Linked DNA regions of Ovis aries. The protein of the gene in region 3 purifies or fractionates together with the protein of the main gene of each other region. This does not show direct contact. Links are inferred from orthologs where the notes say so. Each region holds a gene or a part of one and is shown on either strand. Other genes may lie near its edges.

Region 1 (3,650 bases), on a different chromosome or scaffold from region 3:
AAATGTTATTCTTCACATGTAAATGGTTTTCTGTACAGAAACTCAGATTCCATAAAGGCATTAAAATTACCAAGCTTTCTTCATAATCTTCGGCCTTTGGATTCACACACACGATCAGGCGTACTTTCCCTTCCCCATCAAAGTAGTTCTTGAACAGATGGGTTAACTTTGAATCTCGATATGGAACCATCTATAAACATATCCAAACCCAAATACATCAGGTAGAAACTGCACACAAACAAAACTATACAAGTATACAAACTTGTATACAAACTGCTGCTCACCTTGTTAGTACCGTAAGTTTGGTTCTCTCTCAGGACCTCCATACATGTTCTCAGTGTCATTAGTGACTGGTTAATGTTACCTGACAGAAAAAAGTACACAGAAGTCATTTGAAGACACCAATGGAGTAGCTAGAGCATGGTCTGTCTGTCTGTGAAATATCTACTTCATAGAACTCTTAGATGGAAATTACAGATGACAGATTTTAGTGGGCTCAGCTTAAAGAACTGTCCATATCTGGCAATGTTGCAGTAGAGTGTGAGTACTGGGATTTTTTTATGTAAAGACTTTCCACTGAATGTAATATTATACTTCATGACCCGTAAGATTTCTTTCAAATCTTAAATACCATGAAAGAGTATATTGAGTACAGACGTTTCAGTTCAGTTCAGCCACTCAGTCGTGTCCGACTCTTTGCCACCCCATGAGCCGCAGCACGCCAGGCCTCCCTGTCCATCACCAACTCCCAGAGTTTACTCAGACTCACGTCCATCGAGTCGGTGATGCCATCCAGCAATCTCATCCTCTGTCACCCTGCTTCTCCTCCTGCCCCCAATCCCTCCCAGCATCAGGGTCTTTTCCAATGAGTCAACTCTTCGCGTGCGGTGGCCAAAGTACTGGAGTTTCTGCTTTAGCATCATTCCTTCCAAAGAAATCCCAGGGCTGATCTCCTTCAGAATGGACTGGTTGGATCTCCTTGCAGTCCAAGGGACTCTCAAGAGTCTTCTCCAACACCACAGTTCAAAAGCATCAATTCTTTGGCACTAATCATGCCCATATTTCAGGCTACAGTTGGCTCCATCCGGACATCAATGTCTCCCTTACACCAGAAGGAGCTCCTGTTTCTACCAGTCAGGTGTCTCAAGAGCCAACTAAATCTGTTCCCTCTATATCTAAAGAAGGTTTCTTAGGCAGCATGCTTGTTAGTCCTGGCCACTCGTTTGAATTTCTGAGTTAGGGCAAGTCTGACAGGTCTATCAAGCCAATGATACAGGAGATGTCACCTGCAGAGACCCCAAAAGTATTACAACACAGAAGAGTTTGTTCATTTTGAAGCCATGCTTTCATTCGTGGCCCCCTTTCAAATACAGAGCTCATCTGTGCCTCCATGGTACTCCATGATTCATGCTTCTCTTCCTTGACCCCCGCTCGCACTGTCCTTCCTCCGTTCCTCCACGTGTTCTTCGAAACCCACATCCTTGCTAACAGACTTGCCATACCCTCAGACCTCTCACAGAATGATCCGTTCCATCTCTCTCTAATGGCCACCTGTGATCTGGATGTTGTCCACGGGTACACTTCAGGGAGTGTGCATACGTGGTTGGGAAGTAAATGCATCTTTTTTCTTACTAGCCTCTGAAATTTAGCTGTTTCTTCAATTATGAATGTAGACCAAACACGTATAATAATGGTAGTAGTAGTATTTGTGGTGTTTAATCAACAGAAGTCACAGATAACTTTTATAACAGTTTATTGCTTATCTCAAGATACTTATATTCATTACTACTTTGAAATTATGTAGTCATAGACATGCTATCAGGTTTAAGGCATTAAGAAAGTACATAAATTACTGTATGACAAAGGTTTTAAGATTACTTTAAAAAACACATTTCAGTCTAATTGCTTTCTTCTGTAATCCTGTATTTTATGCTATACATTCTAAAATACTGTGAATCATATCCACAGGCTTCACCCCACCCATGATGCAAAACCCTACAGCCTTGTTTTTATTTCCTAGAAGAGTGGAGCTTCTCCTGCAGCCTTGTGAAAAAAGCTGCCTGCTTTCTAAAAGCCTGACATACTGAAAGGATGGTGAGCAGCAGGCGGCCAGCCGCATTTTCCTAGTCCCTTGCTGCTGTTCTTCAAAGACACATTCCCCTTACATGCCAGCTCCTGGGTCAACTTCAGCATCTAACAGGAAGGTCACTCTAACATGCCATCAGAGGGCCCAGGCCACAAGTCCAGGAAATCTTTCTCTCTTTAGCATTATAGCCATGCCCTAAACCTTGTCACTCAGAACTCCGAAACCTCTGGAAACCTGAGATTGTCGTGTGCCCCAGCCACAAACCATCCCCAGTCTAGTTTTAACTCCCTAACTGTGTCAGCTCTTCCCCATCATGTCAACACTGATACAGCTTCTGTTCCTGTCCCCAAAGCTAAACCTGCTTTCCCAAGGTCAATCCTTCCTCTTGTGATCTGGATTCTGGATGCTTTGTCTTTTCATATAGACGTATATAATGCGTGTGTGCTGTTAGTCCTGGGCAACGAAGCCTGGAGCTTCCTAAGTGGCTCGGTGGTAAGGAATTTGCCTGCCAATGCAGGAGACACAAGAGATGCAGGTTCAGTCCCTGGGTTGGGAAGATCCCCTGGAGAAGGGAATGGCTACACACTCCATGATTCTTGCCTGGAAAATCCCATGGACAGAGGAGCCTGGTGGGCTACAGTCCGCCAGGTCACAAAGAATCAGACTTGACTGAACACGCACGCAGAACAGCTAAGCCAGCACGCCACAGCTGCTGAGCTGCAACTACTGAAGCCCGTGTGCTCTAGAGCCCCTGCTTCTCAACAACGGAGGCCACCAGTGAGAAGCCTGCATGCTGCAACTGGAGAGTAGACCCCCTCACTGCAACCAGAGAAACCATGGCAGCAACAAAGGCTCAGCACAGCAAAAAACAAAAAAAAGTGTGTGTTCAGTCCTTCTGTAACTCCAAGTCACCTGGCTATTACCCCCTACTCTCCTTCCCAGACTCAAGGATCTGTTGTCCTCGAGGCCCTGCCCTCAGTGTTCCTCTTTGTACTCCATGAATAATCTTTTCTTCCCCATTGCTTCAATCATGTCTTCACTAGCAAAACCTAAACCTATAAACCTCAAGTCAAATCTCTCTCCTTCCATATCTATCTACTTCTGTATCCAATTGCTAGACACCTACACTTGAATAAATTGAATATGTTCAACATACAACTCTTAGCTGCCCACACCTGCACCTCAGACTACTCCTTAATTAAGGTTTTCTTTGATTTATCCTCCTCTCTTCCTTCCACTTTTCACTTTCATGCACTGGAGAAGGAAATGGCAACCCACTCCAGTGTTCTTGCCTGGAGAATCCCAGGGACAGGGGAGCCTGGTGGGCTGCCGTCTGTGGTGTCACACAGAGTCAGACACAACTGAAGCGACTTAGCAGCAGCATCTTCCTTCCTCTCCACATCCAGGTGGGTCTGCTTCCAAACTACCTCTTAGTTTTGGCTGACCTTTGCCTCCAGGTGACAGGACTGCTCATCTGAATTACTGCAAAAGGTTCCCAACTGGTTTTCATCTCTCTAGACTTGCCTCTGATAAATTAATTTACAACAGTGGGAAAATCTCTTTA
Region 2 (4,172 bases), on a different chromosome or scaffold from region 3:
CCCATGGAAAATAAATGCAAAAAAGCAAAATGGCTGTCTGGGGAGGGCTTACAAATAGCTGTGAAAAGAAGAGAAGCGAAAAGCAAAGGAGAAAAGGAAAGATATAAGCATCTGAATGAGAGTTCCAAAGAATAGCAAGAAGAGATAAGAAAGCCTTCTTCAGTGATCAATGCAAAGAAATGGAGGAAAACAACAGAATGGGAAAGACTAGAGATCTCTTCAAGAAAATTAGAGATACCAAGGGAACATTTCATGCAAAGAGGGGCTCAATAAAGGACAGAAATGGTATGGACTTTATTTTGGGGGGGGGGGCTCCAAAATCACTGCAGATGGTGACTGCAGCCATGAAATTAAAAGATGCTTACTCCTTGGAAGAAAAGTTATGACTAATCTAGACAGCATATTCAAAAGCAGAGACATTACTTTGCCAACAAAGGTCCGCCTAGTCAAAGCTATGGTTTTTCCAGCAGTCATGTATGGATGTGAGAGTTGGACTATAAAGAAAGCTGAGCACCAAAGAATTTATGGCTTTTGAATTGTGTTGCTGGAGAAGACTCTTGAGAGTCCCTTGGAGTGCAAGAATATCCAACCAATCCATTCTAAAGGAAATCAGTCCTGAATATTCATTGGAACGACTGATGCTGAAGCTGAAACTCCAATACTTTGGCCACCTGATGCGAGCTGACTCATTTGAAAAGGCCCTGATGCTGGGAAAGATTGAAGGTGGGAGGAAAAGGGGACAACAGAGGATGAGACGGTTGGATGGCATCACCGACTCCATGGACATGAATCTGAGTAAACTCCGGGAGTTGGTGATGGACAGGGAGGCCTGGAGAGCTGCAGCCCATGGGGTCGCAAAGTGTCGACTGCGGGACTGAACTGAACTGAACTGTCAGCTCAGTAAATCTTCCGGAATTCTTCCTATTCAATGGAGAGATGATCAGTTAAGAATTTCCAAAAGTCCTATTTCCGGGTCTGGGGAAAACAGGCCCAGAATAATTTGCCCTCAAAAAGACTCATTTGCCCTTAGTCAACATGGTATCTTCAATGCCTTCAAGAAACGGCTCCGGAGGGAGTGGGGGGAAGGGAGAAAGAAACCCCAAAAACTGGTGACCTTAGTCAAGATGGGTGCCTTTGGCCTCGCTCTATCAGAATGCGCATGCCCGTTCTTGTCCCCGCCCTTCTCCGTTGCCCTGGCCGTGCGTCAGAGCGTAGGGGGGCGGGGGGGAAACACCGCGGGAGGAATAAATTTCTCTGTGATTGGTTGGTGCAGATTTCAAACCTGGCCTGGCGGCGGGGTGCTGGTCCGCCGTTGGGTGAGACGCGGAGGGGAGTAGAAAGCTGCCCGGGTGGGGTCAGGCGGACCCGACAAGGTGGGTGCTGGGGGTTGCGAGAAGAGGTGTTTCTGGCGCTGGGTTTTTTGTGGGAGGGAGGCGTCCCTGGTAGTGAGCTGTGGCCTCCACGAGGTCGGGGTAGGGGGAGGCCGGCACCTACAGCTCCTCCTCCGCGGCCCTCCTCGGGGGCCGCGGGGCGCGGGCTGCCTGAGCGGGCTTTGCTTAGGGAGTGGGGGGGTTTCTTTCGTGGCGCCATGTTTTGTGGAAAGCCGGGGGCGTCTTTTTGAGATGGTGACTTCAGCAGGGCAGAAGCTACCCCAAAGAAATGGCTTTCACTTAAAGACAGAAAGTAGGTGGGGTAGCAAGACTTTTTCGAGGGTTCTTTTCGGAGGGACAAAACTTTTTCAAAGGGAAAAGCCCTGATGTTCTGGAGGCCGAGGCGGCTTGGAGTGGAGCCCCTCTTTCTAGTGGGCTGTGTGAGTCTCGGGAAATGATGACATTTGCCTTTCTCATTAAAATCTCAGCCTTAGAAACACAAGGCCTTACTTTGTCCTTTCACATACATCCCTGTTCATCTCTCAACAGAGGGAGTCTATAGGTGGGAATGTATAGGATTGTGGGGTGGGTGGGAAGATAAGCTTTTTTTTTTTTTTAACAAACGTCATCGTACTCTAATGTGGTGGGTGAGCTTTCGAGTTATTGAAAGTGTTTAGAGAATACGCCTTTCCTGTAGGTTAATCATTCAACAGGTATTCAGTGCCAAATTAAGTACAAGACAGTCTTGGCTTTAAATGAGCTTGCAACTTATTTGTGCTAATAGAACTTAGAAAGATAACTGTGGTGAATCTAGTAGGCCTTTACACTTGAGAATACTGTACGTTAGTCCGGCCCTTTTAGAAAATATTTTGGCACCATTTATCAAGAGTCATAAGAGATTTTTTTTACCGTCTGACTTGGTACTCCAAGCCTTGGAAATGCATTTTTAAGGAACATGGCCACTTGAAGAAAAACACTCTCCGTAGTGATGTTCAGCTTATTCGTTCATTGAATATTTTGTCATCATTTGCCAAATGTCAGGCATTGTTCTAGGCACCAGGAGCTCATCAGTGAACAAAAATCTGTGCCTTCTTGGAAGTTAAACTATTGGGGAGACAAACAATAAACCAAATAAGTCAGTTAATATGTAAATATGTTAGATGTGGATAAATGCTTTTGAGCAGGAGTTAAAGCAGGAGTTTGGGGGGAAAGATGCAATTTGAAAGAGTGGTTAACAATGGGACAATGTTTTTTTTAATTGAAGTATAGTTGATTGACAGTGTTGTGTTAGTTTCTGGTTTACAGCAAAGTGATTCATGTTCTTTTTCATATTTTTCTCCATTACGGATTTTCTCCATCATGAATTATTACAGGTCCTGGTATACAGTAGCACTTTGTTGTTTGTCTGTTTTATGTATAGTAGTTTGTATCTGCTAATCCCAACTCCTAATTTATCCCACCTCCTTTCGTTTTTGGTTGCCATAAGTTGGTTTTCCATTTCTGTTTCATAAATAAGTTAATTTGTGCTGTGTTTTAGATTCTACATATGAGCAATGTCATGGTGTTTGTCTTTCTCTTTCACTTCACTTAGTATGATAATCTCTAGGTCCATCCATGTTGCTGCAAATGGCATCATTTCATTCAGGGCTGAGTAGTATTCTACTGTGTGTGTATATATATATGTGTACATATGTGTATATATATACACATGCACATGCCCCTTCTTTATCCATTCATCTGTTGATGGGCATTTAGGTCGTGTCCATGTCTTAGCTGTTGTAAATAGTGCTGCTGTGAACATTGGGGTACATATATTTTTCAAGCCATTGTTTTTTTTCTGGATATATGCCCAGGAGTGGGATTACCAAATCATATAGCAAGTCTGTTTTTAGTTTTTCAGGACCTTCCATACTGTTTTTTCCATAGTGGTTGCTCCAATTTATAATCCTGCCAACAGCGCAGGAAGGTTCCCTTTTCTCCATACCCTCTCTAGCATTTGTTATTTGCACACTTTTAAATTATGGCCATTCTGACTTGTGTGAGGTGGTACCTCATTGTGATTTTGAGATGCATTTCTCTAATAATTACTGATGTTGAACATCTTTTTATGTGCTTATGGGCCATCTGTATGAGTAAATGACATTTGAATAAATACCTGAAGAAAGTGAGGGAGTGACCATAAAAGTAGAGGTAAACAGAATTACCTAAATGTTCAAGGAAGAGAACAGTTAAATAAATGTGCATCAACTTCTTGCAACTTAATGGAAATATGGTAGAAAAAAGTAAGACAATATATAAATCTGAATGCAGTTCTATGAAATATGATGCATAATGGGCAAAGATTACTTAGGGAGGTGCATATAGTTCAGGGTGGTGAGGTTTTAGTTTCACCATTAAAAAAATGTTACTTTTTTCTGAACAGAGAAAACTAACAGTATGAGGCAGTGTTTTATGTCTGCCAGATGAGTGTTTTAGATAATAAAGAGGTTGTTTTGTACTAAAATGATTACAGAACGTTTTCCATAAGTTGATAATACTTATATTAGACCCTGAAGAATGGAACACTTTGGAATGGAAGGAATTTACAGAAGAAATAAATAAAAGGAGAACTTAGTATAATGAACTGGTAATGATTTTATGAAAAATAATAATTTGTCTCATTCTGCTTTTTTTGGGGGGCCGTACTGCACGGCCTTGTGGGATCCTAGCTCCCCCACCAGGATAGGTGGGCCTTATGCAGTGAAAGTGCAGACAGAGCCCTAACTGCTGGACTGCCAGGGAATTCCCTCTTATTCCGTATTT
Region 3 (3,650 bases):
ATCTGAACTACCAGGGGAGTCCATTGGCAGGTCGATATAAACCCCCTGCCTTAAGCCCTATGAGGTCACCGTGGAACTGCAGCACAGGGCTCCTCACTTGATTTGTGTGGGGCATGTCATTCATTCACACAAGCACACTGTAGAGTTAGTAAATTATAGCAGAAAACATGGTCGCTAGGAGAACAAAGAACTAGAGCAAGCATCCTTGCCATGTCCTAAAGAATCCCCGACGGGCCCCCAAGATAAAAGGTTGCTGCTGAACCACAAAAGACGCCTGGATTCTTGGCCTCTGGAGGAGAATTCAATCTGGGGCCAGTGACGAGGCTTGATCGCTCAGAGCTTTTGTGTAATAAAGTTTTATTAAAGTATAAAAGAGATAGATGTTACACATTATTAAGAGTGCATATCCGTGTTTATTGAGTGGTATTGACAGGTGATATTGTAGAAATTAAAGGGAAGTTTCAATTTGTCTTGAGATGATATGTCGGAAACCACCTCTACATTTAATACAGCTTTATGGAATTTTTTTTTTTTTAATGATTGTAGGATATTTGACCATTATGAGTTGCTTTGCTGTTGTTATTCAGTCCCTCAGTTGTGTCTGACTCTTTGCAACCTCATGGACTGCAGTACACCAGGCTTTCCCCTTCTCCCAGAGCTTGCTCAAACTCATGTCCATTGATGCCATCCAACCGTCTCATCCTCCATCATCCCCTTCTCCTGCCTTCAGTCTTCCCCAGCATCAGGGTGTTTTCCAGTGAGTCGGCTCTTCCCATCACATGGCCAAAGTACTGGAGCTTCACCTTCAGCGTCAGTCCTTCAGTGAATATTCAGGGTTGATTTCCTTTAGAATCGGCTAGTTTGGTCTCCTTGCTGTCCAAGGGACTCTCGAGAGTCTTCTCAAGTGCCGCAGTTCAAAGATATCAATTCTGCGCTCAGCCTTTTTTCTTGTCCAGCTCTCACATCCAGACATGACTACTGAAAAAACCACTTAACTATATGGACCTTTGTAGGCAAGTAATATATCTGCTTTTTAATACATTGCCTAGGTTTGTCATTGTTTTTCTTCCTCTATAGCTCTAGTAATAATCATAGCTATATCTTCTGAAGGAGAACTTGGGTGATTTCCACTGAATTAAAAAACAACCCTCTTTCTTTGCCTCACAGAACAGCAACAAAAACCTAACCCATGGAAGATTTTAAGTTCTTAACTGTTCTGAAGTAAAACTTGAGTTTTGAGATATTTTTAAATTTAGAAAAAAAAAATTTTTTTTGATAGTGATAGAGGTAAGTAAAGCATTGTATCCAAATCCTTGTTTATATTTTATTTGAAATTTCTAAGCAAATATATGAAAATAGAAGCGGTTGATAGGCATTCGAGGTGTCTGGGATAGTTGCACCTGACTGTTTTTGTTGCTCTCTTAGGTTTGTTTGAAAATGAAGATTCATGCAGTGATTGTAGTGATCATGCTAAACCAGGTAGTAGCTTACAAAGCTTTGTGCCAGAAGGAAAAACTCATTTCCCAGAAATGTTCCAGACAAGTCAACTTTTGTTCTATGAGCGATTCAGAGCTTATCAAGATTACATTTTAGGTGAGTAGGTCCTTTTTTTTTGCTTCTTTTATCTTTTAATTTACAGGTAAATTGTCTCAGTTCCTCAGACTGCCATTGCTGGTTCTGAGAAAGTAGACTTACAAGGATTTATTAACCTCTCTCTGCTTTACGCTGTCTCAATTCTTATTGTGTTTAATTTGTTTGTAGCTGACTGCAAGGCCTCTGAGGTAAAAGAATTCACAGCTGAGTTCTTAGAGAAGGTCCTCGAACCATCTGGATGGCGGGCAGTCTGGCACACTAATGTGTTTGAGGTGCTAGTTGAGGTAAATTTAATTCTGTTGTTAAGACATTTATCTCTACCTAAAAACACTTTCCCTCAGACTGTTGTAACCTAAGTGCTTATTTTTAATTAAGATTTATGAGCTGATTGAAAATGGCGTGTCTTTTCACACCTAATTGCTGTGGTGTAAGAAGTGTTCTGCAAATTTTAAAGGCAACTGAAGAGGGAATTGGGGTGGTTTAAGTTTCACCGTCCTTTAAAAAAGGGAAATGGACGAGAAACCTATGAAGTGGGGGAGGTATTTGAGACCATTTAAAAAATAAGATGCCTAATTATAAAGTCAGTGGGGTTTGAATTAGTTTTTTATAAAGTCAGTGGGGTTTGAATTAATTTTTTATCTTCTTAGTTATAGCCCATTAAAGTAGCTCAAACCAAGTAGGCATTTTAAAACTAGCCTATTTTTTGCCTAACAGATTTGTAGGTATATAGTTAATCTATTGATATTATGTTCCACTGCAGAAAGTAAAAACAGTCTTATTTTTCAACTGGCTGGGCCTTTTACATTAAATTTGCACTCTACTTAGAGCTGTGAATTTTTCTCAGTGTTTGTTAACTGAACCACAAAAAAAAAAAACCCCATTAAACTAAAATGGTAAACCACGGAGTGTGTGTACAGCTTGTATCTGCAGCCCCTTTAGAAAATGACATCACATCCTACAGTGACTGTATATGAGGCAGTGGTTTGCAAGCAGCTGCTGCTCATGGATGTTTAAATTTTGGATTATGCTAATACCTTTGGTTGCAGTTCAGGCCATTAAGTTGATTATGATAGTAACGCCCTCCCCTCAACATACCTCAGTTCTCTAAAAGCAGCCAAAATCATTATTTTAGAAGAGAAATGTGCCATTCCCCTGCATTCCTCTAATGCATCGCATATACTAGAGGTCTGGTTTTGGCTTTCTGGCCTCTCATCGTTGGATAACATGTAAAAGCCAAGCTCCTTCAGTGCCCTTCCTGTCCTGATCTTGCCTCTCTTGTCCCCTCCTGCTGCCCCTACCTCATTTCCTTCCTTTTGTTCCAGCAAGAAAAACTGCTTCTCTGCTCTTCAGCTGCCAACCTCATCTCTGCCTCAGGGCCTTTTCATCTTTCCTCCTCTTGAAACAGCTGCTTCCTTTTCATCCCAGCTCAAAAGAGACTTCCCCAACCCTTCCAGTAAAACCAGACCACCACTCCTGCTACTTATTCTTTGTCACATACTTGTTGCCACCTTATTTGTCACTTTGATTACAATGTCAGCTCCATGTGGGTACAAGCCAGGTCTGTTCTGTTTGTCCTTATGTATGGAAGAAGGCTCTCCACTCCCATTTCATGCTTTAAAAAAGAAATCAGGCTGTAAATAGTGTTTTAGATGTATCTTAATTTTCATTTGTGTATGTTAAGTCACATTTTAAATTTCAGGTCACAGATGTAGACTTCACAGCTTTGAAGGCAGTGGTGAGGCTTGCCGATCCGTACCTCTGTGAATCGCAAGTGAGCGCTTTTACTTTGGAGTGTATGAAAGAACTCCTTGATCTGAAGGAATACCGGTTGCCCCTGCAGGAGCTGTGGGTGGTGTTTGATGATTCTGGATTATTTGACCAGACAGCACTTGCAATTGAGCATGTCAGGTAGGAATAGAGGTTGATAAAAGTAACCTTGTGGCCAAAAACTTTGGATGAAATGCTGTAATTCTGGTCTGTATTATACCTAGATTTAAAGCTCAAACTGTAAATCTGGTCACTGCAGATGTCTATTAAAATATTCAAAGATAGAGGGA

The links.
Region 1: the proteins of SHCBP1 (region 3) and KIF23 purify together in Homo sapiens (affinity purification with western blotting; 9 studies listed by BioGRID and IntAct, with this or other methods). This does not show direct contact. The link is inferred for Ovis aries from reciprocal best matches to the Homo sapiens genes SHCBP1 and KIF23.
Region 2: the proteins of SHCBP1 (region 3) and RACGAP1 purify together in Homo sapiens (affinity purification with mass spectrometry; 8 studies listed by BioGRID and IntAct, counting the BioPlex papers as one, with this or other methods). This does not show direct contact. The link is inferred for Ovis aries from reciprocal best matches to the Homo sapiens genes SHCBP1 and RACGAP1.

The regions. Positions count from the first base shown.
Region 1 is NC_056060.1:16,318,256-16,321,905, reverse strand, and holds part of KIF23 (kinesin-like protein KIF23), read right to left. Parts: intron 365-3,650; coding exon 285-364; intron 191-284; coding exon 71-190; intron 1-70.
Region 2 is NC_056056.1:136,282,306-136,286,477, forward strand, and holds the start of RACGAP1 (rac GTPase-activating protein 1), read left to right. Parts: upstream 1-1,271; 5' UTR 1,272-1,810; exon of another isoform or gene 1,811-4,172.
Region 3 is NC_056067.1:14,454,253-14,457,902, reverse strand, and holds part of SHCBP1 (SHC SH2 domain-binding protein 1), read left to right. Parts: intron 1-1,425; coding exon 1,426-1,593; intron 1,594-1,761; coding exon 1,762-1,877; intron 1,878-3,292; coding exon 3,293-3,501; intron 3,502-3,650. UniProt on the Homo sapiens protein: May play a role in signaling pathways governing cellular proliferation, cell growth and differentiation. May be a component of a novel signaling pathway downstream of Shc. Acts as a positive regulator of FGF signaling in neural progenitor cells.